Linked DNA regions of Neodiprion lecontei. The main gene of each other region encodes a partner of the protein of the gene in region 3 in a complex. Links are inferred from orthologs where the notes say so. Each region holds a gene or a part of one and is shown on either strand. Other genes may lie near its edges.

Region 1 (7,298 bases), on a different chromosome or scaffold from region 3:
CAAAATATTTCCGAAGCGTTGGTGCGTCCTTCGATGAGCCACTGATTATGAGCTGATTTCAAATAATGTGTAGGAATCAGTGTGTCGTAATTGGTGTACTTATCGATTCGAATCATTGTCTCATTCAAGTTTTAGTGCACCGAGTTTAGCTTCAAAATATCATCCAAGTGCGCCCGATTTGGGCCGGATTTTTGCATTCGGAAGACGTCTCAGCCACAACTCTGATTCACAGTTAATTTTTGATTCAATTTTAAGCAAAGAGTCAACCCTTAGTACACCACTACCGTATTATGCATATACTTCTAGTACACGTTCGCCTTCATTCAGTCATTTTCTAAATTATATGTATACTAAGTTGACAAAACATGATTGATATCTAGCCAACGAATGAGAATGACTACTTTTGGGCTGTGCAAATAATTATTATAAACAAAAAATAACAAGAGGCAGTGTGTTTGCGGTATGGTCAACAATGTTAGCACGTTTATAAGCATGTCGAAACAGTTTAAAGAAACGGATGCAGTTATATTTCGTTAGAGACAAATCTATTATTGATATCTATAAGCACCTGTCCTACGGAAGGAGCCTGAAGATATGTCGACACATCCGGTTCCACCATACAGCTCCTTAGAGTATCCGGGATGAACATGAGGAGATGTGTAGACGATGTCAATCCGGATTGTTGATGTTGCGTTTCGGGGTAATAGTTTTGACGATAATTACAATGATGTTGATTATTTGGTAAAATTGTTGGCGGTAATGAGTTATTATCACTGAAGATGTTTCTGTTATTACCGCCACAACGGTTATCTAGGCACTCGTAAATATTGGCGGTTGGTTAAAAAACCGTATTAAAATGTACTAAGGAAGAAAATAGTGAAAAAATATCCTACTACTAATATTATTATTTCCCGCCGCACAGAACTCGAAGATAGAGCGTCAACCTCTCCGGGGATATCAACGAGAACAAACACCACCAACACCACAATTAACCGTCGTTTCGTAATAAGTACAAATAATTTGCTGGCTCTTCGCTGATCTGCTCTTCGGCGGTTTGAGGAAAATATCTCGTGCAGGCAATCCCTGCAGATCGACTTAGAAAGGTAAAACCTCTCGATAATATTCTGCTCTATCTTCCCTGCACTGTCGTCGGTCAGTCTGGGATTCTTCTTGCTCCTGCTCCTTTTGTTCTCGTTTTTGATATTCGGCGTCGCACTGGTCACGCTGCCGCTCTCGTACTTATTATCGTTACTACTATTATTGTTGTTGTTGTTATTATTATTATCTTCGTTGTTACGGTGGTGGTGCTGGTAATTGTTGGGTGGTGCAACACCGCACCCACGCACAAGCATCCTACCCAAACACACACCACACTCGGGGAGAATGTATAAGAGATGTTCAAAATGAGTGTATAAATAATAAATAAACAAATAAATAAACTCAACTATCAGACCGACCCGCAGCCGATGCTTACGAGGCGTCGTACACCCTCGTTACCGTGCGGAAGACGCAGTCCCAAACTAGTGGAACACCACCAGCTACGAGATGAGAATATAGTCAAGCCTTGCCGCTTACCGCTTGCGTCGGCGTGCGTTTGCAGGGGGTCGAGGGGCACGACGTTTGAAAAGCGCAAGCTCTGAACACCCGAAGAGTCGCGACTCGCGCCGCGCCGCAACGCCGAGCTTCACTCTCCTCTCTCTCTCCCTTCCGCCCTCTCGCGCATTGCTCTGCTTGTCTTTCAGCCCAGAAGGGGGGGGGGACTCCCCGTTATTACCGAGCAAACGGGGTTAGATGCGCGCGAATCGCGCCTCTCTATCGTTTTTTTTTCTGTCTTTCACTCGCGCCTCCTCTCTTTTATTTACCCACCGAGGATAATTCTTCTTTTTTTTCCCGCTGAAAATCGACTGAAATTTTTTTCTTTCTTAGTATCTAACCGAGAGTTGAGGTATTGTAATCCTTTTGAATTCATGTTAATACTTTTTTTTTCGTGACGATCGAAATCTCGAATGCTTATTGTATTTGTAATTCGATTGGTAAACAGAGCGACGTCCGATAATTTGGTAGAATAGCCGTTCGAGGTAAAAAAAGTTCACGAACATTCCGTAAATTTCGTCTTTTTTCGGCAATTCACCAACATCATAAATAATTTAAAGGGATTATCAAAAAAAATAGGTCGCCACGGATATAAAAGATTCTGTACTCATCGAAAAAAACTCAACTGCAGTCGATAAAAGCCACCGCGCGCTATTTTCAAACGGAAATTACTGTTACACGTCTTACTGTATTAGAAATTCACTCATAATTTTCCATATTCTTTTCTTAAAAAAAATTAGCACTCCCGTAAAACATTCCTACCTGCCATTTTACGAATGGTCTTTTTCGAATAAAATTATTTTCAAACGAATTCACACATTGTCCACGAGCTATTCGTCAAAAAACTGTACTTTATACGCACATAGTCATTTTCACCCAAACAGGTAAGAAGGAATTGAAAGACACTCGACAGATCGTAGTTAATCATTACTGTTATTATTATTATTATTATTATTATTATTATTATTACTAGCACTATTATAATTATTATTCATCGATTGTTACAGTATTATATATTTTTTTTCTAAAAGAATACGCACTGATAAGTGACGTAAGGCCGGAATGGCAGCAGGTAAAAAAAATTCGATTGACATCACGTCATCACATGGATGACTCATTGGTGGAACGGCTTTTAAATACAAATTACCGATTAACCAGGGGTCACAGGGTTTTTTTTTTATCAACATTTGAGCGATTCAATATAGCTTACAAGTCCTATAGTGACATCCCGATTTTCCTTCGGCTATGATCTTGTAGCTTTGTGAACAGGCTAAAACTAAAAACGGATAATAAATGAAAGTTTACTTTATTTAAGAGTATTATTCCAAAGAATAAACACAACTGACAATGAATGCTGAATACTAACCCTTTTTAAAAATTCCTCTGCACAGATTCGAGCTCTCGCGTTCACAGATAGTTTCATTTCGCTGATTTCCTTGTCTATTTCTTCCATGAAATGAATAACAAAGTCAACGAGCTTGTGCTTGAACATTTGTTCAGTGTGGAAGTTTGTGATTAGAAAACTGATATCGTACCCCTGGAAGTGAGAATGTGACAACAATTGTGGTCCAGTTGCTGGAGTATTGGAAAGGAGGTCTTGGTCAAAGTAAGCAACTTACATCTATTGGTTTCCTCCTAAGTATAACAAAATTCTCAGCACGCATCATCATAAACCTCATAAATTTGTGGCATAATATCTTTTCAATCTCATCAGCCTGTTTGACAGATATGCTAACTCTGACACTATTGATGCTGGATTCAATCAGCACCCTTTCTTTGTCGTTTCTGCTTATCATCACTGGGGTCAGGAGAAGCTCTTTACTCGACATCACCTCCACCTCTGGCTTATTGTGACGCTCTACATCCTGGGAGGAAAAGTTTTCCAAACACATCGCTGCTGTCAGTGTACGTCGCACTGCTGTTAGATAAGGCTTCAATGTTGCCGACTGTAAAAATGCATCATTAATAAAGATATTTGAACATGTATATCACTCTGCAGCTAAACTAATAAATGTTTGGAGAGGAAAAACAGGAAGTCTAATCGAGAACCCGGAACTATTGGTATCAAAAATTTTATATCGGTATAAGGATAAGTTAGATATCAAATTCAAATGATCAATCTCTGTGTTGGTTTTATTAAATATCATTCACAAAAAACATTATTCAACATTCCGATATTGAATGGATTTTCATACGAAGTAGGTGTAGGTCTAAACAATTTTGGTCTAGGGATTCCAGAAATAAACAGGAGTACTGTATTGTCGTTATTTTAATATAAATGTGAAAGCGTTCGTTCCAGCTTATTTGTTATCAAGCCGAGATCACATCCGGTGTAGAAGATAAGGGAAAGAGGTGGAAAGCAAAAGTAACCATAACCTAAACTTTGAGGCAAGACAAACATGAACTACTTACCATTGTTTATCTGTATATTATCCTTATCTGAGCCCGTTTATTTCTGGTCTGTTTTCAATTTTCGGTCAAGCTTTCTGTAGTCAACTTCTCACTTTCAGGTCCTACAATCCCGCTACTAATAATTCACTCAACCCAAAGCAAATGACACATTCCCAAACTTGAAGGGTTGGGTTGAGAGGATAGGTTCTTGACGTTCTTGACCATTGGCTGTGACAGATTTGAGACACGCCTTTGCATCACCATCTATTGGCGGCTGTAGTACTAAACAATCCGACTGCTCCGCCAAACTTGGGTTGAATATAAAAAATGGGTGCGTCCCAAATTCGGTGGGCCCGGAGATAACTTGACGTTTCTGCATTACCGACGATCGTGTAAAATTCCGATGCACACGAGTCAATAACGACAGAAAACTGCAATTTTCCCCGTGTCCTTCGCCAGCAAACCCGTCCTACATAAGTAGGTAGGCGTTCTATGCATATAAAAATTCAACGGTTGAAAGGACTTGAAATACGTTGTTTCACATCAAGTGCTGATACGGGGAATCGATGAGTCGTTTTCCACCGCCGGAAGCGATAGGTTGATTCCATGAAGATTCACGGTGGCAGCTCGATAATCGCAAATATCGTTTGCTTTGTGGTTGTCGGTTGATTTGTCACCGAAGGTAGAGATTCTTGATTCTCCCCTCGGTTATTATATTGTACTCACCAACTCCGTGGTCCCGGGATCGGAGGAGATTGATTTGTACCTCGAAAACGGCCCGGTCGTCGAGTAAGAGAGTATCGGACGGGTGTTAAAACGTGACCCCGAGTTTATCGCGCGGAGCCGGGATGATATGCTCGGAGTATTTGCCCGTTGGCTCGGGGCTGCGTTGCCCTCGGATTAGAGGACGTCTGCTCGATTTCTTCTAAATTAAAACCAACTACCGACTAGCATTTGACACGCATCCCGCCCGCCGTAGCCGGCAAATAACGCGAGATTGTCTTTTGTCTTTAACTGGTGTAGAAAGGAACGGCACGCAGCCGTTTTTCGCCGCTTTTTAAACTGCCGAAACAACTGCCGTCAGAGGCATTCTGCTGATCTATCACAGTCAGACGTTAAAAAAGAGTTAAAATAAAAACATCGCGTTAACCTCATATCACCGCACCACGCGTTTATTTGACAACGAAAACCCAAGATGGCATCGCAAAGTCAAAATTCTGTCAACGTAAATCCGCCCGCTAACGGACAATCCGCATCACCCGATATATCCGCTCCAAAATCGTCTCAACCCACCCAGGAAACCATGCAGCAACAGCAACAGCAACAACAGCCTCAGCAGCAGACAAATAATTTTGAACCAATTGACAAGAGTTCATCGAACACCCTTAAGGTATACCCTCTGTTAATTTATTACAAGCAGAAGAAACTTATCGTTGGCTGAGTTAATCTGTAATTTTGTATTTTCATCTTGGATATGACATAACTGTGGGGGTTTTGCGCAGGAAGTACAATGACCGAGATTGTGCAGCTTCAGGAATTCTCTGGTTAATCTTTTTTAGGAATTCTTCTTGGTTCGCTTACCAGATTGGTAATCCCAGTTAGATAATGCAGTGCAGTTTGTTCTTCGTTGTAAAATTTATAACAACCATTGTGTTCTTCAGCTTCTTTCTTTTTAATCTAAGACTTGGGTCTTGTCTGTTTTTATAAACGAAATTTTTCATTTTCCCAATCAATTGTCTGTTCCCAATAGTTCTTTATCACACCATATATCTGGTGATAAAAAACATTCCGTAACACGAATCATCCATGTCAGATTAAATGTAATTATTAACTAACTGAATAATTAAATTCCTTATTAATAATAGATATTTGGCGAAAATTTTAATATCTTGTACACGTCGAATTTCTTAGAAATTGTTATCCAAATTGATGATCAGTTGTGATTGTTTCTACTTTGCAATTCGTATTTATCTAAAACATTTGAATATATTTCATGCGCAGTTTACTCAATCTTTCATACTTTATCTGATTTTTATACGAGTGTGAAGATTAGATAAGAGGTATTTTTTTGTTCGTCTCATACTTATTATTCAAATAAATACAGAATCTGAGGGAAAAAAACCAAACGAAGGTTTCACAATTTTTGTTTCAAATATGTAAATTACTTGATCAGTATTGTTATTATTATTATCATCATCATTATCAGAAATTCAAAAAAAAAAACTACATATTCCATTTATTTGTCCGTAAATTTTCAAATCTTTGTTCGTACTCTATTATTTTCAATCTATAAAACTCGCAGAAAATGCAGCTAAAGTTAACTAAAAAATCACATATATATGTATTTACAGCGTAACCCTAAGATGAAACTGAAGAAAAAAGATCTGTTAAAACTTCTCGGATACTTGGAAGGAGAATTGCAAGCACGAGACATCGTCATAGCAGCTTTAAAAGTAACTCTATAATATCCTAAACATCAATATAGTGATGATAGATTACTTAGCTCTGAAGAATCTAAAAGAATGAGGAAACGTGAAAAATTTTCAATTTCAGTCAGAGAAAATGAAGCATCTGTTGAACTCGCGTTACCTTTGCGGCACAAACGATGCTCAGGCTGCTTTGGCAAGGGATGACGCCGTTTTGGGTGGTGTGATAGTCGCGGATAAGAAGCAAGTTGATCAGCAAGTCGCAAGTCTGGAAGCATTGGTAATGCAGCAAAGACGGACGCAGTGTCGTATGGCAAAAGTTCTCAAGGATGCAGAGATAAGGCATAGAGCGGCAAGTGTAAATTTGATTGAATTTATCAAAATTTAACGTGTTAAAAAAAAAAAAAGGAAGACAAGAACCACCAAAGTAAGCCAGTACTGAGATTCAAACAAGACAATTTCATTGGATTTTTCAGGTGATCAAGGAGTTGGAAGAAGAGAAGCGAAAACACGAGCACGACACGGCTCAAGGTGACGACATAACGTACGGTCTTGAAAAGGAGAGAACACGACTTAAAAAGGAGCTCGAGCTTGAGAAACAGGAGAAAAAACGAATCGAGCTTGAGCTTAAAAAAGCCAACGATACACTGGAAGAGGAGAAGAATCGGCAAAAGCAAATCGTCTTGCTTCTGTTAGCAGAGAGAAAGAAGATAATAATGAAGTACATAGAGGAACGCAAGAGGTCCGAGGATCTGGCCCAGATTTTGAGCGAGGAAAAGGTGCGGATAGATTCCATGGCCGAGGGGCTGGAAGAGGAAAGCAAAAAGTCTTTGCAGATGGAGGCCGAGCTTGAAAAGCAACTGGCGCAGTTTGACATGGAGAGGCAAC
Region 2 (7,856 bases), on a different chromosome or scaffold from region 3:
CAATCGTGTCCCTAAAAACGAGCGAGTGCTTTTGGAACGATGCTTCCTATTATTGAAATTGTCATACCTAATTATTTGCTCCTTCAGTCAGCTATGCCACAATTTTATGCCCTTATGAACAAATTCCGGGTGCAAGATTTGGTAACTTTTATTTATTTATTTTTTTTCACCTTTTCTCTATAGACACAATTTCTTATATCAACGTTGTTACAAAAACTTTCAGAGCTTTTACGACTAGTCGACTCAAGAATGCTTGTTTAGTAGTAAAAAAAAAAAAAAAACCTGATATGGATGAAAATGGCAAGGGATTTGACAGGTAAATAGGAATCTAGTCCTTAATCGTAGTTTTAGTATACGCGATGACTATCTACGATATTTGAAAAGGGCATTTAATTTTTTGTTTTTAGATTTCATATTGCTTACTTAATTTATAGAGTCTTGATCTGCAGTCCCTTGTCATGTTAGTTTTAACTCGAGTAAGTTTCATTGTAAACTGTACTTGTCAAATTAAGATGAAATATAGAAGATATCATTTCATGAATTGTAGATAACGGCCCAGTTTTTCTACTCGTTAGTCATTCCAGTGGATGTAAGAGAGCATGCGATGTCTGAGCATTAATCATATGAGTATGTCATTCGTGAATTGGAAGTAAAACGATGATTGTATTGTACCGTATTGTGTGGTCGTTAGGATAAATTTAAGCTTGTCTTCTGTTAGCGTACCAAAGCAGACGGTAATCCATGTAAAACATATTCTACCCGATAATAGACTTAGACTGGCGGTTTGACATGTATTTTTTTTTTGTTTTCTACGTTTATTCTATTTTTTCATTTAACTACAATAATTATTACCTTACATTTCTCTCAATTATTATGATAATATTTTTTTTATCACCTTTTAACGACACCTATTCACATTTGACAGTAGGAGAGATTCGTCAAACGAAATGCCTACGTTGGCGTTATATTCTGCTCTCTTTGTCTCTGAAATCACTGAAAACACAAAATAACTAATAACACTGATGCTACTTCCAGTAAAAAATAGTCAATATGTCATAGTAGTAGCGACCGATGAAAACTCTATGTTGAAACTTAAAATACTGGTAACGCAACGGTCGGCGACTAGTCATTATATTCTTAATTGTAATCTCAAAACAAGCTATCAACCAACTAGGTTTTCGATTCGAAAAATCGACAGCTCTGAATTTTAAAATAAGAATAAAAAAAAAAAACAGTGAGAATTAATAATTAGAGGAATGCTATCATTATTATTAGTGGTTAATTATTATTATTATTATTATTATTGCATGTGAATTAAATTAACAGAAAATAATTTGTGTATTCTGTCTTTAAAATAAAGATTATATTTACTCTGACAATCCGTTCTGGCTTTTAAATTTGTACCCATTTCTTCCAAGATCAAAAGTTGTAATTGTAGAAAATTTACACTACTCTTATTATTTATACTGTTTTGCAATAATCTGTACAGCAATTTTTCGTCGATGTAGAATCTTCTTGGGAGCAAATTTTTTAAATCACATTGCTCAATTCCCTTGGCTCGTTTCGGGCAAGTCGCAAATGCACTCCGTGCAAAATAGCATTTACTCTTGCTCTGAATCCACGCGTCGGCTCATTGTACGTCACTTCTTTCTGTTGTCTCTGCAGCTCAGTCTCGGCATCAAATCTTGCTCGTACTCTGTCCAGAGCTGAGTTAAGAAAACGTTATTTTATTAATAAGGCAATGTATGACCAAGTGATTTGACTGTTTTGTTACCTCGTTTCAAGTCCATTTCGTCCATCTCTTCGTTATTTATATTTGTTAATTCCTTCCTGAACCGCCTTGTTATTTTGTTCCTAATATAGTCAGCCTCGATCTCCTGCTTCGTCCGAGGAACTCTAAATCTTATGCAGCAGCACAGTGCTATTATGATAGTTAACAAAACGGAGAGAACCATTCCAGCTAATTGCCATACCCGAAAACCAGCCACGGTTTCGTCTTCGAGCCATTCGTTCACGCCACCGTCGCCACAGTCTCCATGCCTTATCGGCACTTCGTTCGGAGAACAGGGTGGCACGGTCAACGTCGAGGAAGCGGAGCTTGGCATTGTCAAATTTGTTTCTTTGTCCATTGAAAATTCGGGTGAATTTTCTATCTGTTCACATAATACACTGGGTCTTCGTTACATTGTGTCGATATATCTTGACAAAATCTTGGCTGCTTAAATTGGTAAGTGAATAACTATCTGCACGGAAAAACCCCTGGCAGAGGACTTTATTTTCTTTTACAAAAATAAAATTCGTTGAAAAGTGTTCTATTAGTTGGCACAGTTGTTGCACAGAGGCATTTAGTTCAGTGTATTCCGGACGAAAAATCCTATCTCACTGAAAATGTAGAATGGGTTTGTGATCAAGTTGAGTGGCATGGAGGGTGTGGCATGGTTACTAATGAATATTTCCAACTGGCACTCCCTAATTTACTGCTTCGCATGATTCAACCTATTCTTTGATCAAAGATCAATATCTCCGTGACTCCGAGGAGAGAGTTATTATTGCCATTATTAAGTTTATGTCGTCATTGGAAAGTATTAGCAAACTTAAAAAGGGGCTAAATATTATTTGTTTGTTTTGCACTGCATTTCGTTATTTGTAATATTTTTTTTATTACCTTATAATAATAATTATTATATAATAATAATAGGTAAAGATTGGAAATAAAAATAATCATTTGTTACAAAAACAATGTACTATGTTACGCGGGTACGACGCAAAAAACTACGTCGTTTAACGGTATCCACTTCATTTTTTTATTTGTTAAATTTCTTGATTATCTGTTATCGTTTCTTTTCGGTCTGAAGCTTTCTGTTTTTAGATTATGTACTAGTTTCTGTTTTCAATTTCATAATTTTATAATTACAGTAGATAGGATCAGGGTAAACCACAACATTTTTTCCAGTTCCAATATTACCTGGCGTCACTAGTCCGTATTTTCATTACAGAGTTTTCCTAAACAGGAGCTAGAGACGTCAGAGTGTTTGTGCGATACAGGATAGTCATGTAGTTTGATCAAAATGAAACCACTGAAAATAGCGAATTTTCAAACAGTTCCCACACATCGTCACTTTGATCGCAACAACTTGGATGCTACTTTGTCTAAATGACTAGCGAGTAGTGCTGACGTATGAGAAAAGGTTTCGATATGCAAAAAAAAAAAATACCTTCTTTACAATAGTCAGGAACAAGTTTTGCTTTCTGCAATTGGAAAGATCATCGTGATGATGAATATTATTGCAGAATTTTGTAACTCAAATATTCCAACTCAAATGTCCCAAACGTCACGTATTGGACTTCCTATTTTTTTTTGCTCAATTTCATTTTGAATATGAGTCAAGGTATTTAAAATTTCCTCGTTCAAATTCTGATTTTGAAATGCACTATTTCAACTACGTTAAGACTGAACACTTATCATTAACGTTGCTAGTTCGAACTAGGGTGCTGTTGTAAAATTAGTTTTAAATTAAATATGTTCATACATCAGAATAAGTTGGCTCAAACTGAGAAACTAAAAGTTTAGTAAAGGTTATTGTAAATATCTTTAGTTAAATTATTGAAAAAGAAATGCATTGAAAAGTACTTATACACAAAAAATTACTCGAAGTTAGGCATGTTAAATGCAGTAGAAGGTACGATGGCAATAATTAATTAATAGTTAAAGACGAAATTGTAAATATTAACGGATTACACAAACAAAAATTACAAGAATCTACTACGAATTGTTGTACACTCAAACTATCGCCTGTCTAGCCTGTATAGCCAAATACTATAGCATAAACTCGGGCCTGTGGGATGGGAAGCTCTTGGCTTACTAATTTTATTAAACGGGACCGTCGCTTCAAGGACGAATCATCTTTTTGTTTTTGTATTCGTGGACCTTAGATGACGACACAAGGTAATTGAACGTCCCTCGTTCATCTCTGTTTTAATTAGTATTAACATTATCGATTGACTCGTAGGCTCATTCCTTCCTAATGAACGTTCGACCTCTGCAAGAAGACAAAAATAAGTGAAAAAAAAATTAGCAAAGAGGGTCGCAATTACGGATCAGAATTCTAGGTAAACAATTGCTAGCGATTTTTTGTCAAGTACTGTAATTTATACTCACGTTATGGTTTTCTTTTCGATGTTTTTAGGCTCGGGTCTCGCGCGGTTTAGTACTTTGAGGAAATCTGAGGTCTTGGCACGCATTCTTGAGTGTATGTACGCCTTGCTGCATTTGATGTGGTAATGCAGGTAATCTCTGAACATGTGAATCAGGTCGATGGTGTTGTCACGGGCCTCCCGATTCGTGTGTCGCGGGAACAGCACTGCCGTAAAAGGCATATAATAAGTTGTCGAATGATAAGTAACGAGCACTTGGAAAAGCATTTCGAAAAGTACTTACCAAAAGTAATGTAACCCACATTATCGCCGACCGCCGCGTCAGAATCTTGAAGCTCCAACGGTGGCTCCCGATGACTGAAGAGGACTTGTGGCGCGGTGTGACTCGCCCGTCTCCCTTCCTTGAGTTCTTGTAGAAACACTTTGCCGATAACTATGTCATCTTCATCTTTGAACACTGTACTAAATACCACGGTTACTCTGTCACTTTTGGCCTCTACGTACCTGGAAATAGGAGGAAAATGAATTTCTCCTGACTCAACGAACTTGATTTCAACTAAAGCAAAAATGGTGTTACATTTTGTTACGATACTCACAGTGTTTCCTGATCTCGATATTGTATTACTGCTCTTTTATGGCCTTCCTCGCCTGCTTCTTGGAAGTCAAAATATTTTTCAAATACACTTGCAAAACAGTGCCTTTTCAGCAGGCCAACATTTTTGACCAACGCTTCCCAATCCTCGGGCAAGTTCTCTAAATCTATCAGCAACGACACATTGTATCCTTGGAAAGAAGATAAATAATTTGTTATATTCATTCACAGGGCACTGCAAAGCGTAGAATAACGAGTGAGCCTTGATGTACAGGAAAACATCCAAAGAGATAGAAATTAGTCCACAATATTAGTCTTTTCATTTTTTTTTTTTTTTTTTTTTTTTAATCAAAGGCAATATGCCAGAAGATTTTTTGCTAAATCAAAATAAAGGAACAAGAGTAACAATCAGCACCACGGATTTTAAACAAATCATTACTCTGGAAAAATTGCAACTCACCATCCTCTTCGGTAGTAAGTAAAGGGCCATACTCGCGTTTGAGCAATTCGTCAGCACCATGTTCTTGCAACTGCATGTAAAACTTGAGCGAGATACTAATCTGTGTGGAATAAAGATACGGATAAAATGAGAGTGCAGAAATATTTTCATGTGGACTAGTTTGGCAACGATACGATTTAAGTATTCGTCATTGACTGACAGAATACGTACTCTAATTTTGGTTTTGTCGCCTCCAACATTGGAAATGTGGAACAAAACTCCGTCAAAGTCAGCTATTTTGACATCTATCGATTCCGGTTTATGCCTGTAACAAGAAAATGAGCAAATATGTATCGCAGTAACGAAATGCAGCGCTTCGCGTATTAACATGATCCCCTTGTGATTCAAACGGTCATGCGGTAGCATTTAAAGTCTCAACATAATGAACGCTCCAATTTGAAAGGTGTGAAAAATTGTTCTATTTTTGGAGCTTCTTGATATCTGCACATCAGAGTGAAAATGTGGGAGGATGTGGTCAACGAGAGATAAGAGTTTGCAGATCGGTGCGTAAAGTAGGCGAGATGGGAAAGAAAAGTTTTGATCACTTGACAGATTCTGTCAAAGCCAGTAAGTTTAGACAGGGTGAGGTTAGTCTAGGGTCGGGCCTGACTCTCTGTCATTTGCGATTCCTAATCGCAAGTTTCCCCGGGAAGTGAGTTAAAACGGTTTCTCGCAATTAATCAGATAAGGATATATAAAGAGCCGCGGTATATCGAAAGCGAGACACCGCCCCAACCTCAAAGTTAGTTTGATATGGATAAGAAATAAAAAAAAATAATAATAATAATAAAAAAAGGGAATTAGGTGAATGAAACGAATAAACGGTTGGAAAAAAAGTTATTCGTATAATTTTTAACATCGAAACAGACTTACCCAGCCAAGGCATTCTTTATTTTGTTATTTAACGTTTCCTCTATTATCCTATTGTTGATCTCAAGTAAGATCATTATTACGACTAATATTTTTATTATTAGAATATAATATGCTATAATACAATAATTAACAATTATATAGTGCTGTTGTAACCATGAATACCGAATACGACGGCTCTGACTAATTTCTAATCTTTCCACTTCGACTGGGTGTAGTGGGGTTCGGATCCTCAACCGCTCCAGCGGCAGGAAATCCGCGTTAACATTGGAGCTAGGCCGGCCCCTCGAACCCTCCTGCGGGAAAAGAAGTAAACAACAATCAATTCCTCATCTCGACATCCCCCAGGCAGCGCTCCAAAAGTCAAAGATGGCCGACCTCAAGGCGGGTGTTTTGAAATTTAAATACAAAATTTACCAACAATCTCAAACATGGGAGCGTTGACTGAATTAGATCAAGTCATAGATGAAATTACAATATATACATATATTTCACACGCCAGAGGCCTGGCAATGGAATCTAATCAGAAGAGAACGAATATAGCGCAAGAATTTTCAGAAATTTTTTAATTTACATTTGACAGGCGTTTTACTCTGTGAAACATGACAGAATTTATTTAGCGCCTAGATCGAACGAATATAATCACCTTGCACCGATTTCTTTTTATTAGCTTTCGCTACTACTCACAGTCAGTTTGTGCAAAATCCACAAGATGACGTTCCGACAGTTGAACACTTAGAAGATCGCGATACCTCGGCAAAGTGGTTTGTATCATCTAGATCCTCGTTCTTAGTTCGTGTTTCATGGTAGACACCACCAGACCTGAAAATGGCGACTCGTCTGCTAAGGATTAGTTCCGCGCTGCGAACTTATTCGAATAAAACCAGTCACGTCAAGGTAAAATCATCTACCTGTCACTCCTCGCAACGATTCGTCGATGTCTCGCCTTATGCCGAGCACAACATTTTTCGGAAATCTTTTACGGGATTACTCGGCGAGCAAAACCGTTCTCGACAGTCAAATTTTGTTTCTGCTTCAAAGTAGTATCCCCTTACGTAATGTAGCTCACAATTTATTCATATTTACGGCGTCAATTCGCACGAGTATCGCTCAAGTTATTCTAGCTTCCGATCCTGAATCCAATAATACACCGTACCGCCGATGCCACGATCAATAATGGGTGGAAAAGAGATGAGAAATTAACGTTCTTGCCATACCCAGTGTTTATTTTAGAATTCAAAATTGGCAGTCTTCCTTTTTCTGCAAAACCTATAGCTCATCCCCTTTTCAGATCTCCAAGCAATGGAGGTCCACTGCAGCATCGCTTCAGCAGACATTGATCAATCAGCCTGCCACGAAGACCACGACCTTTGAAAATGGCATGCGAGTTGCCAGCGAAGACAGCGGCGCTGCTACGGCAACCGTTGGGCTGTGGATCGACGCCGGAAGTCGGTATGAAGACGACAAGAACAACGGAGTTGCTCACTTCATGGAACACATGGCTTTCAAGGTAGGGTTTTAATGGATAGAACGTCCGTATCGGAAGGAGCATAAACCTGAAGATCAGCATTTTTTGCATCTGTGCAAGCTCCGTGCGCAATTTATTTTTTTAAATATTTAACATCTGTTTCAGGGAACTGCCAAACGCTCCCAGACAGACCTGGAACTGGAAATTGAGAACATGGGAGCTCACTTGAATGCCTACACGAGCAGGGAACAGACTGTGTTCTATGCAAAATG
Region 3 (8,355 bases):
TCAGCAAATATTTGACCGTATGGTATAATAGAGGGCAATTAGCGGTGTGAAGTAATTGATGGCTGCCAACCAAGGGTTCACCTGCGGTTTTCACCTTCGCCGCGATCGCGTGGCGTTCCCTTCCCGTCTCTCGAACTAACCAAATTAACTTCATCTCCTAGGCTTACCTCTCCGTTGTTAAAATTTCGGGAAAAAAGTAAATTCCTAACCAACAAAAATTTACCGCCAAATTGTCAGCCGCTAATTTGACGACGACAAAAATAAGAAGGCAATCCGATCCCGTCGACATTCCCTTTTCTCCCGCGACTTATCATTTTCTCTGCTCATTAAAATTGACACGAGCTTAAGAAAGCTGATTTTGCTTCATTCGGTGAATGGCGAAAATACAGAAAACAGACTAGCGGCGCATGTCATGTTTGCGCGGGTCTTGTCACCAATATTAATACAGCAATTGTAAGAGCGAATGGTCGTAGTATTTCGATATTGTCTGGATGTGTATCATCCCTTCAAATCGGGAACTTCCCTACGCTCTACGTGATCCTTAGGAGTATCGCAACATAGCTCGCATTCCTGTGCAGATATCTAGGCAGAAAACGGCTTCAGGATCAAGAGGAGCCTCCGGTCGAAGGGTCCAGGTACCTCGTCCTCGCTGGGTACAGCTATTGGACCCTAGGATATCTGCTGTCGAGGAGAGGAGCCGAGAAACTGCTGGAGGCCAAGCCCCTTGAGAATATGGTTCCCGTTGACGAGTACCTGCCTATCCTCTTCGACAAACATCCCAGGTGAAGATTTAGGGGGGGGGGGGGGGGGTAGAGCTTGGACGGTCTAAAGTCATACCTATTTTTAGGTTTTTTTTTTTCTCAGAAAATGAAAACATTCAGAGCAATTTGAGTTTGCGGTCTTTATTGTTTACAGTTTCAAGAATATTTTAGAAATTTTTCATTGAAATCAATAACGAAGTGGCGGCATGGCGAATATAAGTAGAGAACGACGACGTTTTCAATACGAAGGCGCAGATTCCTCGGTCAAGTCTTATCCGATCGACTTGAGATTTTGACACAATTTTTAAAACTTGTTTATGAGTTCGAACTCGTGGCTAGATTTTTAAATTTTAATTCCGACATTTTTTGTTCATAATCGTATATACTTGAAGTAATTTTTTTTTCAATATTTGGGCTACGAGTTCGAAACCGAAGAGGTGTTTTTAACTCGGAAAATTTTTTCCATCTCCTATAAGTTGGACAGTGATGTCAAGAGATGCGCCACCACAAAAGTCCTCGAGATTGAAGTCGTTCGCTACTTATGTGCACCACGCCGCCATTTTTGTGTTAATTTAAATGTAAAATTTTCTAAAATATTTTTCAAACTATAAATAATAAAGCCTTCAAATTCAAATTGCTCTATGTGTTTTCATTTTCTTTAACAAAGAACTCCTAAAACTATGTATGATTTTATATCGTCAAAGCTACACCTCCTCCTCTCCCCCTCCTTAAAATATTTTGACTTTCTCATAGTCTACGGAAATTGCATTCATGTTTTCTTAACGACGTCGAGCCGTATTTACTTCTTCTACAACTTTCGCATACTTATTTTATAAATTTCCAGCTGAAACTTGATATTTCATTCGTGTATTCATGCATAACAAGTACACCGGTAGCTACTTGCAAAAGCAGAAGCTACGCTGGCTCCGAAATTGGAAGACGGGGGGATTTTCAGAGCGCACGAAAAACAAACGAAAACTAACACAATAACAACCGTGACGTAATCTTACTTTCCCTGTATATCTTTCGATTACCATACGAAAGGCACAGTGATTATTGGCGTTTGCGCAAAACATACCTGTTCGATTTCCCCGATCCACACCTCTATGCATACACTCATTCTTTTTCACATCGATCAGTGGAAATTGAATTTTTGTTCACGTTTCCGGCTAACAAAAATGTACTGAGCGTTTAATCGTCCAATTATTTCTCCCCCGTTTCTTGTGGTTTCAATCACACGTTTAAACGTGATTAACGAGTTTGTTTGTTGGATCGACACTTTGACACAGGACTGCGTGGAAGGGTCATTTTCCTGAGAGAGATTTGATCGCCCTCTCGGCTGCCCCGCTTCTCCTCTATCCGACGCATTACACTGGAGAAAGAGGTTACATAAGCGACACGGAGGACTCTACGGTGATCACCTCGTTACCGGGAACCAAGACTCGGGAAGAGCTGTAATCCAGAATGAGGCCAATTCTTATGATGTGGGGGTGCGGCTTACATTCCCGTTTCGCCGTTGCATCGCGCAAACTGCCAATATCTGCGTTGACTTACGACCATAAGACTCGCGACTTCTAGCCTTCTGTGATTGTCATTTCAGCTCGATTACCATGATTATGCTTTTTAATCTTGCGAGGTAAACGCTAATTGGTTAATTCATACCATCGATTATTATCGCTCTGTATGAGAAAATCTTCGTCTGAAAATAAACTCAATTCCACGTTTCGTTAAAATTATTACCGTTTTATATTCGGGCGATATTCTTTTCATTCGTGATACATTTCAATCTCAAACTCGTGCTATGCGCAGATATTGGGAATACTTTCGTAGATTACTATTATTGTCTACCCCTTATCATGCACGTATAAATAATTAGCCTATATTTTTTATACTCCACTTACCACGTCAATTATTTGTGATTTTACCTATTGGTATCCTCTGTAGACGTATTATAAATTGCATGTTGCCATATCATAATGTAACCTATATCAAACTGATTGATCAAAATACTTCTGTAGGTTATGAACACTTGTTACCAATTTTTAAGCGGTCGAATTGTTTATGCTGATGTAAAAAAAAATTGAAGCAGAATGAAAAATCAAGTCGTTCTATTTTATCGCCTTGATGATATTCTCTGATATTCCAGCATCCTCTTATCGTATCCTACCGCACGAAACCAGGCAACAACGACATTATACGCAACACTCGATGCGTGCGAAATTCAATTTTCGCACCACAGAAAAAAACTCATAATCTCTTTGAAATTCGAAGTTTCACTGCTGGTAAAATTTTCACGAAATCTGATATGAAATGCGTAAATTCTATGGAATCTGTTATAATTGAATGAATTGAATAACTAATTGTAACGTTTTCTGCCTAGCAGAGCACGGAGGGATATTTCCTTCGAAATTATAAGATACGGGGAGAAGATTAAAACATCGACGAGACTTCATCTCATCGTTAGAAGCGGTTAATTTCTAACCCTAGAACGCATGTACGGGGTCGTAAACGACCCCGGCCGACTTTCAAACTGCACTCCTGAGTTAAAAATTGATATCATCGGCTGGGGACCGTGACCATAATTCATTGTCACTAACTGTTAGTGAAGTTAAGCTTGCTTGGCATCAATTGCTTGCTGACAATTGCGCAGAACAATTTTAAAAAAACTGGTGGGGTCGCTAACGACCCCCCTATAAAGCTGCCGTTGGCGTTTCGTGGCAGTAAGTGAATGTTCCGTTTTTTCTATTCAAATCAAAATATTTGTCTTGTTATTACGTAATTTAAACGGCAACAGTCATATGTTGTCTAAATTTGTCTTCGGCTCACCTATGGCTCATATTGAAAACTTACGCTCGGCCCGAAAAGTCTGAGTTTTCATCCTTGTTACGTAATATACTATTTTGCCGGTTTTTAGTACTATTTGGTAGTTGATTGAATTTTTCACCATTTAAACTTCAATAAGATTAAATTTGCTCTTCATAATTCGTTTCTTGATTAAAAAAAATGAACAGATTTATGCATTTTCGAATCCCATTATTACTTATAAAATGATTTCACGAACAAGAAACGCGTGGGGTCGTGTATGTTAGGGTTTTAATCTTCAAAGATTAAAAAATCCGTCGTAGTCCGCCTAATCGTATGTAACCTGTGCACAACTTAGGGTCTTCTTCGTCAAGTTTGTGAACGAGTCACAAGATGGCGCCTGGAATTGAGCGATGCCAGAGCTAGTATTTCACTGGATTTGCCGCTTGATGAATTCTGGGCAGGCTCGAGGAGAGCTTGACAAGTATACAAGTCCCCCTCCCACTGTCGTTATCGCGTATTAGGTGTGGTTTTTTTGATTTAAAAAGTACCGAATATTATCAGTGAAACGATTCCCAATATTCAGCGAGGGTAAATAGTAGGTACACAGAATGGCCGGACGCCTTCCTGCGTGCGTTATCGACGTCGGTACTGGGTAAGTATTCTCGTATATATAAAAGTTAACGAGCCCGATCACTTTGACATTCCCCAGTCAGTCAGCCTGTGACTAACCACAATGTTCCTACCGACCATGCACGCCCTGATTTTTATCAACTCGCGACCCACAAGCGGTCGATACTTTTGTTGAATTGTGATTTGTAAACGATCTTCCAAGATTCTCACATTCCATCATTTACTCGTTGCAATTACCATCTCTGCTGACGTATCCATCAAAGGTGTGAGTCAACGCTATCCAACCTTAATCTAACCCCCTTGTTTTCTAGGTATACTAAACTGGGATTCGCCGCTAACAAAGAACCTCAATTTATAATACCGTCCGCTATAGCGATAAAGGAAACAGCCAAGGTAGGCGACAACTCTGCGAGGCGAGTCACCAAGGGTGTCGAAGACTTGGATTTTTTCATTGGCGATGAAGCCTTTGACGCTACCGGATATGCAGTCAAGGTAAGCGTTGGTTCTCAGTTCTTATAAGTCAAATCACCTCTTCCATTTGTCGCACTAGGTGATTATGTGGAAATTTAAATAGCTACAATTTTTACACACATATTTATAAGCTTGTCTTTTCTTTTACGTATTCCACTTCGAACAGTCTTCTAATTTTCGAAACTGCATCATGATTTTTATGAAAAAATTCCAAGTACCCCGTCAGGCATGGCTTGGTTGAAGACTGGGACCTGATGGAGAGATTCCTCGAGCAATGCATCTTTAAATATCTTAGAGCTGAGCCTGAAGACCACTACTTCCTCCTCACCGAGCCACCCCTTAACACACCAGAGAATAGGGAATACACCGCTGAGATTATGTTTGAATCGTTCAATGTACCTGGACTATACATAGCCGTACAAGCTGTTCTTGCCCTTGCCGCATCCTGGACATCAAGGAATGTCGAGGACAGGATACTAACAGGGATTGTTGTGGACAGTGGTGATGGGGTTACACATGTTATTCCTGTGGTAGGTGTTTGCAAGTTTTACACATCGATCATATAACAAAATTCATTCAACTTTAGAGAGAGGTAGATTGTTAAAGACCCATCTTTGGAATGACGATTATAATCCAAGTAACTTTACGGACCCCGATGAAAACAATTATTTTTTATGCTTACACACAGGAGTCAACTGTTTTGTTATCAGCTTTTGTAGAGTTACTTGGATTATAATCGTCACGCTAGTTTGGTCTCGTAAAAACAGCCTCTTTAAGGTTGAGTGAATTTTATCAGGGGTCATCATAATGTGTTACTTCTGTTTTGAAGTTTGTTTAGCCTTTAAGGTCTTAATTTTTTTTTCTTAGGCCGAAGGATACGTGATTGGTAGCTGCATCAAGCACATTCCGATAGCAGGTCGCAACATTACCTACTTCATCCAAAGCCTTTTGAGGGAGCGTGAGATTGGCATACCGCCAGAACAGTCGCTGGAAACAGCAAAAGCGATAAAGGAAAAATTTTGCTACATTTGTCCTGACATTGCCAAAGAATTTGCTAAGTATGACAGTGATCCCACTAAGTGGCTTAAACGATTCGAAGGAATTAACAGCGTCACGAAACAGGCTTTTGGTGTCGATGTTGGATATGAAAGATTTCTAGGTCCTGAAATATTCTTTCATCCTGAGGTGAGGAAACTCCTTTCTCTGTTGATGAACCGGTATTATCACATATAATTGTAAACTGAACTAGAGAATTACCGTTTTAGTTCTCCAATCCAGACTTCACGACACCTTTGAGCGAAATAGTGGATAATGTGATTCAGAACTGTCCCATTGATGTGAGGAGGCCATTGTATCATAATATCGTACTCTCCGGAGGTTCAACGATGTTCAGAGATTTTGGTAGACGTTTGCAACGTGACATAAAGAGAACTGTCGATGCCAGACTAAAGCTCAGTGAAGCTCTTAGCGGGGGTCATCTCAAGGTAAAAAGCGCCGAACCATTGTGAATTTTCTGCCATGAAAACGCAGGTTTCAGCTGTTTCCTAATTTCAATGTTTTTCAGCCAAAGCCAATTGACGTCCAAGTGATATCGCATCACATGCAGCGTTGTGCCGTCTGGTTTGGAGGATCCATGTTAGCAAGTACTCCTGAATTCTATCAGGTTTGTCATACAAAAGCTGCTTACCAAGAGTACGGTCCTGGAATATGCCGTCATAATCCAGTATTTGGTGCTATGACATAATTGAACCGTAATTAGCGGATCAATGTGATAATAACTGTCGATTGAAATACGCACGAACCATAAAGCAATTCATTGATTTCCTTTTTTTTTTTACATAAATATATTAATTTTAACGAATCGAGTGATAAATCGGGAATCTAATCTGCGATCAGATTGTTTGCTTTCCTCGTTTCAAATAACTTATAAATATGAAAATGTTGAAGCGTTGATTTCTCGAGTCTAACAGGTGAGTGACTCACGTTGCAGGCATTTAATTAATCAATATTATACATACATATTGTATGTATCATTGAAAATTCCATAGGAAGGTGAATATTGTGTACAACACAAATAAGGAAACACATTGCAGAACAATTGTATAGAGATTTCACGTACGAAAAGTACGTTAAAGAAAAACAAAAACACAAAAATATCACAAAATAAAAAAATCTTTTCTAATTACATTTATTCAACATATATATTCATATTCTTTTGCTTTCCATGTAACAAAAAACTGTATCATTTCTCGTCGACAGCTTTTACACTTCGAGTTGAATGTACCCCACTTCAAAACCCACCATATCACCTTTCTGTTTTAGCTCATTAACTGAAACGAGGCAATTACAATTCAGATGAATAATTGTTCTCTTTAAATTCAAGATATCAAATATTTATACACAACACGGCGTTAGACCCGTTATTTTACATATATTCATGATATTTATTTATGAAATCAGGCGGTAAAAGCTTAACTTAAATACGTTTTGTTTACCATGTATAATTGTATACATCCTTCAATCACAGGCTAACGGCGAAATCCCATTATCACAAGACTTCACATACATATTCCCAAACTTAAATTGCTTTCTGTGTTCTCCGTATGTTTATATACGAGATCAGTCAACAGTCTCCTAACAATCAATTCACTAACGTACTCTTTTTCTCTATCTAGCAACCAGACTATCGCGCTGAATAAGTTTAACAAAATACCAGAATTGTCGGTTGAATTAAGACCTTTCTGCATTATATATGAAAAAGAGAAACGTGGTCCACGCTTAAAGCATGCGCGCTAAATATTAAAAATGGACGTATATCAACAGATGGATTTCGATGGCCATATTGTAACAACATTTCATGCTGTCACAGAAGCTAGTCCCCTTCCTGATCATTATCCGTGTCCTCCTCGGCATCGGCGTCGTTAACACCGTCTGGTGCCCTGTGTAGTAATAAATTGCCGACTTCGTGTAGCAAATTAGTTACAGCCCTCCTAAGATCAGCTCTGACCGCATCTCGGGCTACCTCGACGTTTCCCGCGTTGTCGATTGCGTTTTCGCTGTTAGAATGCAGTTGACATTAGACAATTCAGTGGTAAACTATGAAGATCAGAAGTAAGGTGCAAGGGTTTACTCACAACAAGTTATAGCCGTTTGCAGCCGCGGCGACAACGTCTTCCTCAATGTCCGTAAAAAGGGAGGTAAAGAAGAGCGAAAATAGGTTGGAGTTGTTGGAGTTGCTTCTGGGATTAACTTGGAGTCGCGTGTACAAGTCGATTGAATCTGCTGGTGGTAGGGGGTCGTGTGATAAGACTGGTCCTTGATTTTGTATCTGAAATTAACGAGGCAGTGTTGTGTCTTTTCAGATGAACGAAGCAGGCGAATTTCGATAGTACGTTACGTTTAGCGTTTCAGGACAGACCTCCTGTATATCGACGGTTATTTCTTTGATGTCTGAGAGAATGATATGTCTCAAGATATTTTTCGGTAATTTCCCTTGATACCGCTTTGTGCGTTTTTCTGTGCAGAAGTTGAAAAAATCATGGCCGGCGTCAAACCGGTCTAAAACCTGATTCACATTGCGTTCAAGCCAAGGTAGAATGTCAGCCTCTTTCCACAGATGATAGCTGCGCGCCACATAGAGAGCTACAACTTTCTCCAATGCAGGAGGACTCGTGGACTTGGCGTGACT
Region 4 (7,836 bases), about 14 Mb from region 3:
GCCGGCGCCTTTGCCACCGGGTCTTTTGAACATCGGGGCATTTTTCAACATATCCGGTAATATAAGGAACCTTATTTTTGAGCCCCTAATGTAAACGTTCTCTAGCTGGCCTACGCGTCCATCGCGATAAGTGACGGTCAGGTTTTGCATTTGACAGTTCATGTTGTCTTCGGCTTCTATTAACTTTCCGCGGTAAACCTCGCCGGTGTTAGTTTCACAGGTTATAGTGTGACCTTCGGCTTCGTGAAGTACTTTAATTGGCACCCCGATCGACATTTTGACACTTATGTTCCGATAATCGACACTAAAATCTCACTAGCTCACGAAAAAACTGGCGATTGAAACGGATTTATACCCGTGTGAAGTCTGTGTCGTTGCATCAACGTTTGTCGACGGACGCCAGCCACTTTCGTTTCGTTTACGAAAATGGCCGGAGAGTTACTTAGTTCGAATTTTGGCCACTTGGCTTATCGTCGGCATCATGGGTCGGCATCACGGCTTACTTTAGAGCATATAATATACTATACATGCTCCAATACCCGTATTCAGCCCCCTGACACTCACCACTGCTCGTATACTAAAAAATTGTACGCGTTTTGTCCCCGTTTTTTAATTTCTCTACGTGGATACACTTCAGATGCGTATTTTACTAATTTACGGAGTGTGTTTATAAAACGGAGGCTTATAGGTTATGATTGCCGCCCTTTTTTTTTACATTTTATAGCGGAAATTTCACTTTTTTCCGTAAGAGGCGCTCAAATCGCATTTAGACAATTCCACTTACGGTACCTTAAAACTGGGGACAAGTTTTATCGCAGAGTGTTGTCTCCTTCCTACTACTCCGTGAAGGAATCCTTGTTCCTCAAGGAAGGAATATGAATACGGGTGTAAGAGTAATCCCACTCAAGTGGCATCGGAACCGTTGTATATGGAGGATTACAAAGAAATGAAATGTTTCGTTGATCAAACGGACCTCGTTTCTTTCGCTGGTAGATAGCGCTGCAGTCGCACAAGGTCAACACTTTCGGACTTTAGAGCATATAGGATTAGGCATGAATATATATGAGTAGGTTTTATGTGTACGTAGCTGCATTTTTTCGAAAACCCTATGATAGCTTGATCTCTGGCAAAGAATTCGTTCTTGTCCATCTCTGTCTAACCCTCCGTGTCACCAAAGTTCCCAAAAGTTGTTAGTCCAATCAATTGCAATCAACTTTGCCACCATCTTGTGCCAAGTCTTGAGCAAGTTCATCAGCATCCGATTGGCCAAGCTCAGCCATTTTGTGGCGAAAACAGCACCAAGAGCGGTTTGGACACACATCTATTTTGGCCGTGTTCGAAAATTGACTGACAGTACTGTCAGCAATCTTTTATCTCTTTTGCGCTACCAAGTTCGTGGATAGCTCTGACTCTGTCCTAGGGAATTTTCAGTACTGTCAGTCAATTTACGAACACAGCCTTTTTACATACATCCCCGTTGACATCAGTCGATGTCAGCGATTTCAGCGGCTATAAACTAGCTTTAAAATCAGGGCTTCTTCTACCGCGTAGATATTTAGGTATTTAAATACCAATTTCAGACTTGTATACCCTGTATACAAAGACCTCGCTTAAGGCTCAGTCTCACAGAGCACGGTGCGGCAACACAGATCCAGCAACCAATAAGATTGCAGGTTTTTGGAAGCGCGAATTCCGCTGCGCCAAGAACGAATGCATGCCGCGTCGCGGCTTGTGAGACTGAGCCCTTAGGCGTTAGTGATTTAAATTAATTCTTGGAGCACGTCGCACGTTAACTGAAGATGATGTATTGCGTACACTTATGCTCTAATCGTGAAATGCATGTTAGCCGAAAATAATTTCGGAGAAATTTCGGGAAATGAAGCTATGGCTGAATTTTTTAAATCCGATTTTTATATCCGCAATATAAAATAAAGTTTTTATTGAAAATTATATTACGTGGGATGAATATGCGTAGGTATATTTATACGTTTCACAAATTGTTTTACCTTTGCCGTTGGTTCATCACATGCGTGCGTACCATTTGTTTGCCTGATTTGTAATTATCTACATACCTATAACATTTTTCCAACAAAATCCTATCTAATTTACAACAAGGGACATTTACACTTTAAAATCCACTAGAATTCTCGGCTAGATATTTTTTTTATCTGTAATAAATTAAACAATACAATTGAAGTGTGTTTTGCCCGATTTGTGATTACCTACATACAATATTTTTCCAACGAAATCCTATCTAATTTTTAACAGGGAACATTTAGCAATTTAAAATTGACCACAACTATCAGCCGGATATTTTTTTCTTTCCTTATTTAATTAAACATATTGTGTTTGCAGGATTTGTAATTACCTACACACAATATTTTTCCAATGAAATCCTATCTAATTCGTAACAGGGAACATTTAGTAGTTTAAAATTGATTACAACTATCAGCCGGATATTTTTTTTTCTTAATAAATTAAACATATTGAACTCAACATTGCAGGAAAATTCTAAAAATTGTTGATTGATGTTAATAGAAGTGTGAAAAACAATTAATAATTAACATGTAGCTCACTCTTCAGAAAAAGACAAGAGCCATAAAATGAACCTATCTTACAGCGATTGGATTGAATTGTAAGAGAAGATAATTTACAATTTATTGGCCAGGTCCGGATAATGACTTGTCCATAAACTTCTTCTTGGCGAAACACAGCCACCATTTGCTGGGCTTTCCATCTTCTCCATAAACCTTTTCTACGACTCTAATGCCAGTTTCCTGGCGCAACTGTTGTAAATATTGCCTCATTAAATCTGAAAAAAACCATTACAACATTTAGAATATAATTCATATTTGTGTTACACTTGAAGTAATGGTAGCAATTTGTGAAAAAATTAGGAAAATGTGTTTGATTTTGTTATTCAATGGTCTTACCAGCATCAGACGCAGTATTTGGCTTAGCATAAACAGAGTTTAATGGGAAACCGGCTTCTCCTGGAATATCAAATTTGGAAATAGCCAAGGTGTACATCTCATTGGTTGCCTGATTTTTGTTTGCACATTTCTGTAATTTCTTCAAGCATTCAGTGATGTACAAAGTGATGTAAATTAAGACTCGGTCAGCTTCGCTCTGTAGAATATTTAAGGGCGAAGAAGTGGTAGTAATATAAGTGTACAGTACATACATTACTTAATGTAACTATACAAATTAAAAAATTACCTTAATTTCGTAGGTTCGAAAGAAAACATTTGCTTTAAAGAAATACAAAGCTTCGTCTATTATATCTAATTCTTTGTTACTGAATGACGGTGCTGGTCCTCGAAACTGGGTTTTGAACGGTAGCAATGCCATGTTGCCAACCGTTTGGTTATTTTCTAAAAAACTTGAATGATATGCCTGAAATTTTATGCAAAATTGGTATGATAATGTGAAAGTGAGAAAGTCTATCAATAGTAGAAAAGCAAAACACGTCAGAATTTATTGACACGGTAATAGCATGTTGACAGTTAAATTAGGTTAGGTAAAATTATAGTCCGTGATTTACTTCAAGAGTAAATCTGAAGTGATCTTTGACTATCAACATCTCGTTAGTAGGTCGATTGGATCAAGGTCAACGACACTGTTAAATTGTGACCCCGTGTTATGATTCATGATATCAAAGGGATACACCCATTTGACAGCTCCTGAATGCGGAAAACCAAATCGACAATTTCAAGACAGAAATAAGTCTTGTATTACTAATTTGAGTAAATTGAAAAGGATAGACTCACAGGCATGTTTGACAGATACTTTTTCGTAGATTGATTATCTTCTTAAACATGAAATTAAACGCCGCAAGGGTGGAGAAATTATTACAGGCAAACTATAATCTGGTGGGGTCTGGCCAGATATCGCTATATCATGTATGTCAGTAGTGGAGTTATACTGTCGCAATACGTATAAAACCGTAAAAGTCACACATGCGCAGAATGCCTCTACCAATCTTGCTGAAAGTCACGTGACTATCACACATGTGCATTAGGGTGTTCGTTGAAAGAAATATGCTTAGCTGCCCGCAGCACTCCGCTGGTGGCCGCGAGTCGAATCTTTGGAAAAAGCTGAAACTCCAATTCAAATTTGATTGCAATGACCAGAAAATAATTGACGTTCTACAATTATCAACGCATCTCGTAAAAAACGAATACGGCATTGTAGTTTACGTGATTTCAATGCTAAGTTTACAAATAATATTGTTTTCCACATGTGTTGGAGCACGTCAATTATTTATTTTACATTTGAATCAAATTCGAATCAGAGTTCGTTGACTGAAGATATACCTATATCACGTATACATATATATATATATATATATCTGAAGTGACAAGAATCTGTACAAAATGGATACCGTTCAATTGGCGTGACGGCACCACGCGTGTATATATATATCAGTGGTGCGAACTGGCGGCAGCGTCGAAAAACAAAAAATGCACCGTAAGCGTATTTCCCCCACCACGCAACTTTTGATGAGTTTCAAGACCTGTATGTAAGACCGTGCTTATGGCAACGCTAATGAAGTGGTGTACTAAAATTGCAAATGCGTAAGAAAATATACTCAAACATTGACGTATCAAAAGACACAGAGGACGATAGATAATCTACGATAAGCATATATTTGTTGCAATTTTAATATTCATGATAATAAACAACAGTTTATTGGAAACTAGATCTACTTTGATTTTTAAAAAAATCCAATTGTGCAGGTTTTCGCGCCATACGGGTGGCCGACATGAGAGAAGATCATAAAATCGCATATAAATTGAGTATTGCGTGGGATATACGGTTACGATAATGACATTTAAAATATTCTACGCATCATTAATGGTACGTTTTAATATAATCCAATAATACGATAACCTTTGTTCAAATACGATATCTTACGTCCCTGGAATAATCGGCGCCATCTTTAGGACTTGGAAATAGCCAAAAGAAAGAAGAACTAGAAGAAGTATAAACGCATTCCATGCTGACAGTTGTGGATGGACTGAGGGTGATCGAGGGTTAACAATCGTTAACAAGATAGTTGTGGGTTAATCACCGGTTGTACAATATCTAATAAAATGGCAGCGACGGAGTTGAAGAAAGAAGAGGTCCGACAGGCTGTTGTTCTAGCAGATGACTTCTCCACAAATTTACATCCCATGCAGACGCTCTACCCAAGTGCGTTGATGCCGGTTTTTCATATTCCACTTTTGGAATACCTGACAGAAACTTTAGTGAGGAACGATATACAGGAGTTATTTTTGTACTGCAGTAACCACGTTGAATCTTTGAGATCGTACGTACAAAGTCAAAATTACAAGGGTCTTATCAATGTACATTTAATCGTCTCTGATGGCTGCCGTTCGCTTGGCGATGCTCTCCGAGACATCGACAGCAAAGGTATCATTCGCGGCGACTTCATCCTGATCAGAGGCGACGCTTTCACCAATGCCAATCTAAAGAGGCTTCTCGACTGGCATCGATTTAAGTCAAAACAAGACAAAGGCGCTGCGATGACGCTGATATTCCGTGATTTAGGATCTAACAATTTTCCGGTGAAAGAAAACAAAACTTGTCTAATTGCCGCTGATAACTCGAATAACAAAGTTTTGTTTCATCAAAAACTCTCAGAGAAAGACAGAAAAGTCAAATTGGAATTACAGTTGTTCTTGGATCACGATTGTGTCCGAATACACAGCGGTTTACTGGAAACTCATATTTACCTTTGCTCAGCGTCGGTGCTTCCCTTGTTTTCTGACAATTTCGATTTTCAGGTAAGTTCTTTTCAGAATCACATAACTCTGCTGAAAAAGTTTGATGTGATACGCAAGCTTCTAATACGATATTATAGAATGGGTTTAGAAATACAATAGACTTGTCAGTTTGGATTGTGTTTTTGAACAAGGCTGAAGTTAGCGATGTCAACGTTACGAAACATTGAGGAAAAAGTAAATAAGTTGCAATTCCAGAATAACTTTGCAGGAATCAAGTGTTGAAAATATAATGTAACGATTTTTCTCGACATACATCGTTACAATGATACTAACGTCAAAATGTTACTCAATGATATTTTTACATCCTATTCTATGATTGTCATTAACACCTAATCGTGGTTTATTAAATTGTTTTGAAATTTTTAAACACCCTTCTAAACATTGGAATGAATTTACTATCAACTGAATGTCTTCAACATCATTTTCAGACCATGGAAGACTTTATCCGAGGAGTCTTAATCAACGAGGAAATTCTAGACTCTCGAATTTACTGGCAAAAATTAGATCCAGAAGAATACGCGCTGCCAGTCACATCTTGGAGGGATTACAATACTTTAATCAGAGACATACTTCAAAAACGTGGATATCCCCTAACCATTGAGATGATGCCAAGTTGTATGTATTTTCTGTACCTACGTAGATGTACGTATAAACACAACAGTTCGATTCTTGGGAAGGGCTGTACATTGGAACGGGATTGTGTGGTATGTCCAAACAGTAATGTGGGAGAAAACACACGCATCACAGGTTCTGTGATTGGAGAAGGCTGTAACTTGGGGAATAATGTGAGACTTGAAAATTCTTACTTGCTGGGTAAAGTGAGAATTGGGGATGATTGTATCGTTAAAAATTCAGTTTTATTCTCCGGCTGTGAGTTGGGTAATTCAGTTGAGATAGACGGCTGTATTTTGGGCCCGAAATTTAAGCTGAAATTGGAAAGTGTTCACACGGATTCCCTCATGCAAATTGATTCAAATGATTGTATCACTTACATCTCCATGAGCAAAGCTCATCCTGACACTGATCAAGAATTACCCTATTTCAAATACACATGTACAAACGAGTCCGACGATGATTCTGATGATCTTGAAGACTACAGTAGCAGCGATGAAGAATCGATTGCTGAGATGCCACTCACTGATGATACGCACATGTTTTTTACAGAAGTGATGGAGAGTTTGATGCGAGGATATCAGGACAAAGTCAAATGCGAGAATTTGATACTAGAAATTAATTCATCAAGATATGCTTACAATGTTACTATTCGCGAAGTTTCCTACAACGTAGTTAAAGCTGTATTAAGTTTACCAATGGAGTATCTCAGCAATTCTGGTTCAGAAATTTCGTCAAAAAGCTACCAGAAGACATTGAAACTGATGTTGGAGTATTTTGACATGGTTATATTGAACTATGTCAAATCATATGAAGCTCAGACAGATTGCTTGCGAGCTATTCAAGACACTGCTGCTACATTGGACACTGTATCTTCAATTCTGTTTGTGTTCAAAAATTTATACAATTGTGATATATTGTCAGAGGAAAAAATTCTTGAGTGGTACGAGCTCGATGATGAGGATAACGATGACGTTATGCAGAAACAGGTGAGACTGAAAATGAAAAAAGACATTCAACCGTTGGTTAGATGGCTACGCGAAGCTGAAGAAGACTCTAGCGACTAACCTGAAATTTGTCGAAGGAAATCATAATAAGGATGAATCAGTCAGTCAATCTGAATCAAAAGTGACGAAAAGAGAAAACAACTTTTTAAATAGTTTTCAACAATGTGAGTTGCTTCAATGATGCTCTAAACTCTAATGAAACCTCATCATCCCTACTGTGTAACAGAAATGAATTCGAGCAAATTTAAACAACACAGGCTAAGATATTCACAATTTTTCATGAATTTGAAGCGATTGAACTCCGATGTTTTGATCCGATTCTAATGTTTCTTGCAATTATTCTGCTCCTTGATTAGACCTCTATAAATTATCTAAAAAAAAATTCAAGATAGCTAACATTGTAGTATAGTTATAACGCACATGTG

What was found.
Region 1: actin-related protein 3 (region 3) and actin-related protein 2/3 complex subunit 4 share a complex: the UniProt entries of both Caenorhabditis elegans proteins name them as parts of the arp2/3 complex. The link is inferred for Neodiprion lecontei from reciprocal best matches to the Caenorhabditis elegans genes arx-1 and arx-6.
Region 2: actin-related protein 3 (region 3) and actin-related protein 2/3 complex subunit 2 share a complex: the UniProt entries of both Caenorhabditis elegans proteins name them as parts of the arp2/3 complex. The link is inferred for Neodiprion lecontei from reciprocal best matches to the Caenorhabditis elegans genes arx-1 and arx-4.
Region 4: actin-related protein 3 (region 3) and actin-related protein 2/3 complex subunit 3 share a complex: the UniProt entries of both Caenorhabditis elegans proteins name them as parts of the arp2/3 complex. The link is inferred for Neodiprion lecontei from reciprocal best matches to the Caenorhabditis elegans genes arx-1 and arx-5.

What each region holds. Positions count from the first base shown.
Region 1 is NC_060264.1:35,277,202-35,284,499, forward strand, and holds actin-related protein 2/3 complex subunit 4, read right to left. Parts: upstream 4,284-7,298; 5' UTR 4,009-4,283; coding exon 4,006-4,008; intron 3,540-4,005; coding exon 3,213-3,539; intron 3,131-3,212; coding exon 2,960-3,130; intron 2,870-2,959; coding exon 2,864-2,869; 3' UTR 2,514-2,863; downstream 1-2,513. Other genes in the region: nuclear factor 1 C-type, read right to left, coding at 569-649; CTTNBP2 N-terminal-like protein, read left to right, coding at 5,180-5,374, 6,336-6,437, 6,538-6,762, 6,887-7,298. UniProt on the Caenorhabditis elegans protein: Functions as actin-binding component of the Arp2/3 complex which is involved in regulation of actin polymerization and together with an activating nucleation-promoting factor (NPF) mediates the formation of branched actin networks.
Region 2 is NC_060262.1:1,738,487-1,746,342, forward strand, and holds actin-related protein 2/3 complex subunit 2, read right to left. Parts: upstream 6,340-7,856; 5' UTR 6,194-6,339; coding exon 6,120-6,193; intron 5,512-6,119; coding exon 5,418-5,511; intron 5,308-5,417; coding exon 5,208-5,307; intron 4,939-5,207; coding exon 4,752-4,938; intron 4,660-4,751; coding exon 4,439-4,659; intron 4,362-4,438; coding exon 4,160-4,361; intron 4,041-4,159; coding exon 4,013-4,040; 3' UTR 3,912-4,012; downstream 1-3,911. Other genes in the region: transmembrane inner ear expressed protein, read right to left, coding at 1,531-1,706, 1,775-2,129; mitochondrial-processing peptidase subunit beta, read left to right, coding at 6,945-7,013, 7,408-7,626, 7,750-7,856. UniProt on the Caenorhabditis elegans protein: Functions as actin-binding component of the Arp2/3 complex which is involved in regulation of actin polymerization and together with an activating nucleation-promoting factor (NPF) mediates the formation of branched actin networks.
Region 3 is NC_060261.1:1,974,001-1,982,355, forward strand, and holds actin-related protein 3, read left to right. Parts: upstream 1-3,978; 5' UTR 3,979-4,174; coding exon 4,175-4,218; intron 4,219-4,507; coding exon 4,508-4,688; intron 4,689-4,882; coding exon 4,883-5,197; intron 5,198-5,534; coding exon 5,535-5,852; intron 5,853-5,932; coding exon 5,933-6,151; intron 6,152-6,231; coding exon 6,232-6,411; 3' UTR 6,412-6,491; downstream 6,492-8,355. Other genes in the region: glycosyltransferase 25 family member, read left to right, coding at 579-782, 2,051-2,219; transcription factor 25, read right to left, coding at 7,540-7,723, 7,802-7,995, 8,065-8,355. UniProt on the Caenorhabditis elegans protein: Functions as ATP-binding component of the Arp2/3 complex which is involved in regulation of actin polymerization and together with an activating nucleation-promoting factor (NPF) mediates the formation of branched actin networks.
Region 4 is NC_060261.1:15,630,585-15,638,420, forward strand, and holds actin-related protein 2/3 complex subunit 3, read right to left. Parts: upstream 3,931-7,836; 5' UTR 3,777-3,930; coding exon 3,771-3,776; intron 3,397-3,770; coding exon 3,220-3,396; intron 3,130-3,219; coding exon 2,934-3,129; intron 2,813-2,933; coding exon 2,658-2,812; 3' UTR 1,916-2,657; downstream 1-1,915. Other genes in the region: small nuclear ribonucleoprotein Sm D3, read right to left, coding at 1-276; translation initiation factor eIF-2B subunit epsilon, read left to right, coding at 5,097-5,792, 6,221-7,471. UniProt on the Caenorhabditis elegans protein: Functions as a component of the Arp2/3 complex which is involved in regulation of actin polymerization and together with an activating nucleation-promoting factor (NPF) mediates the formation of branched actin networks.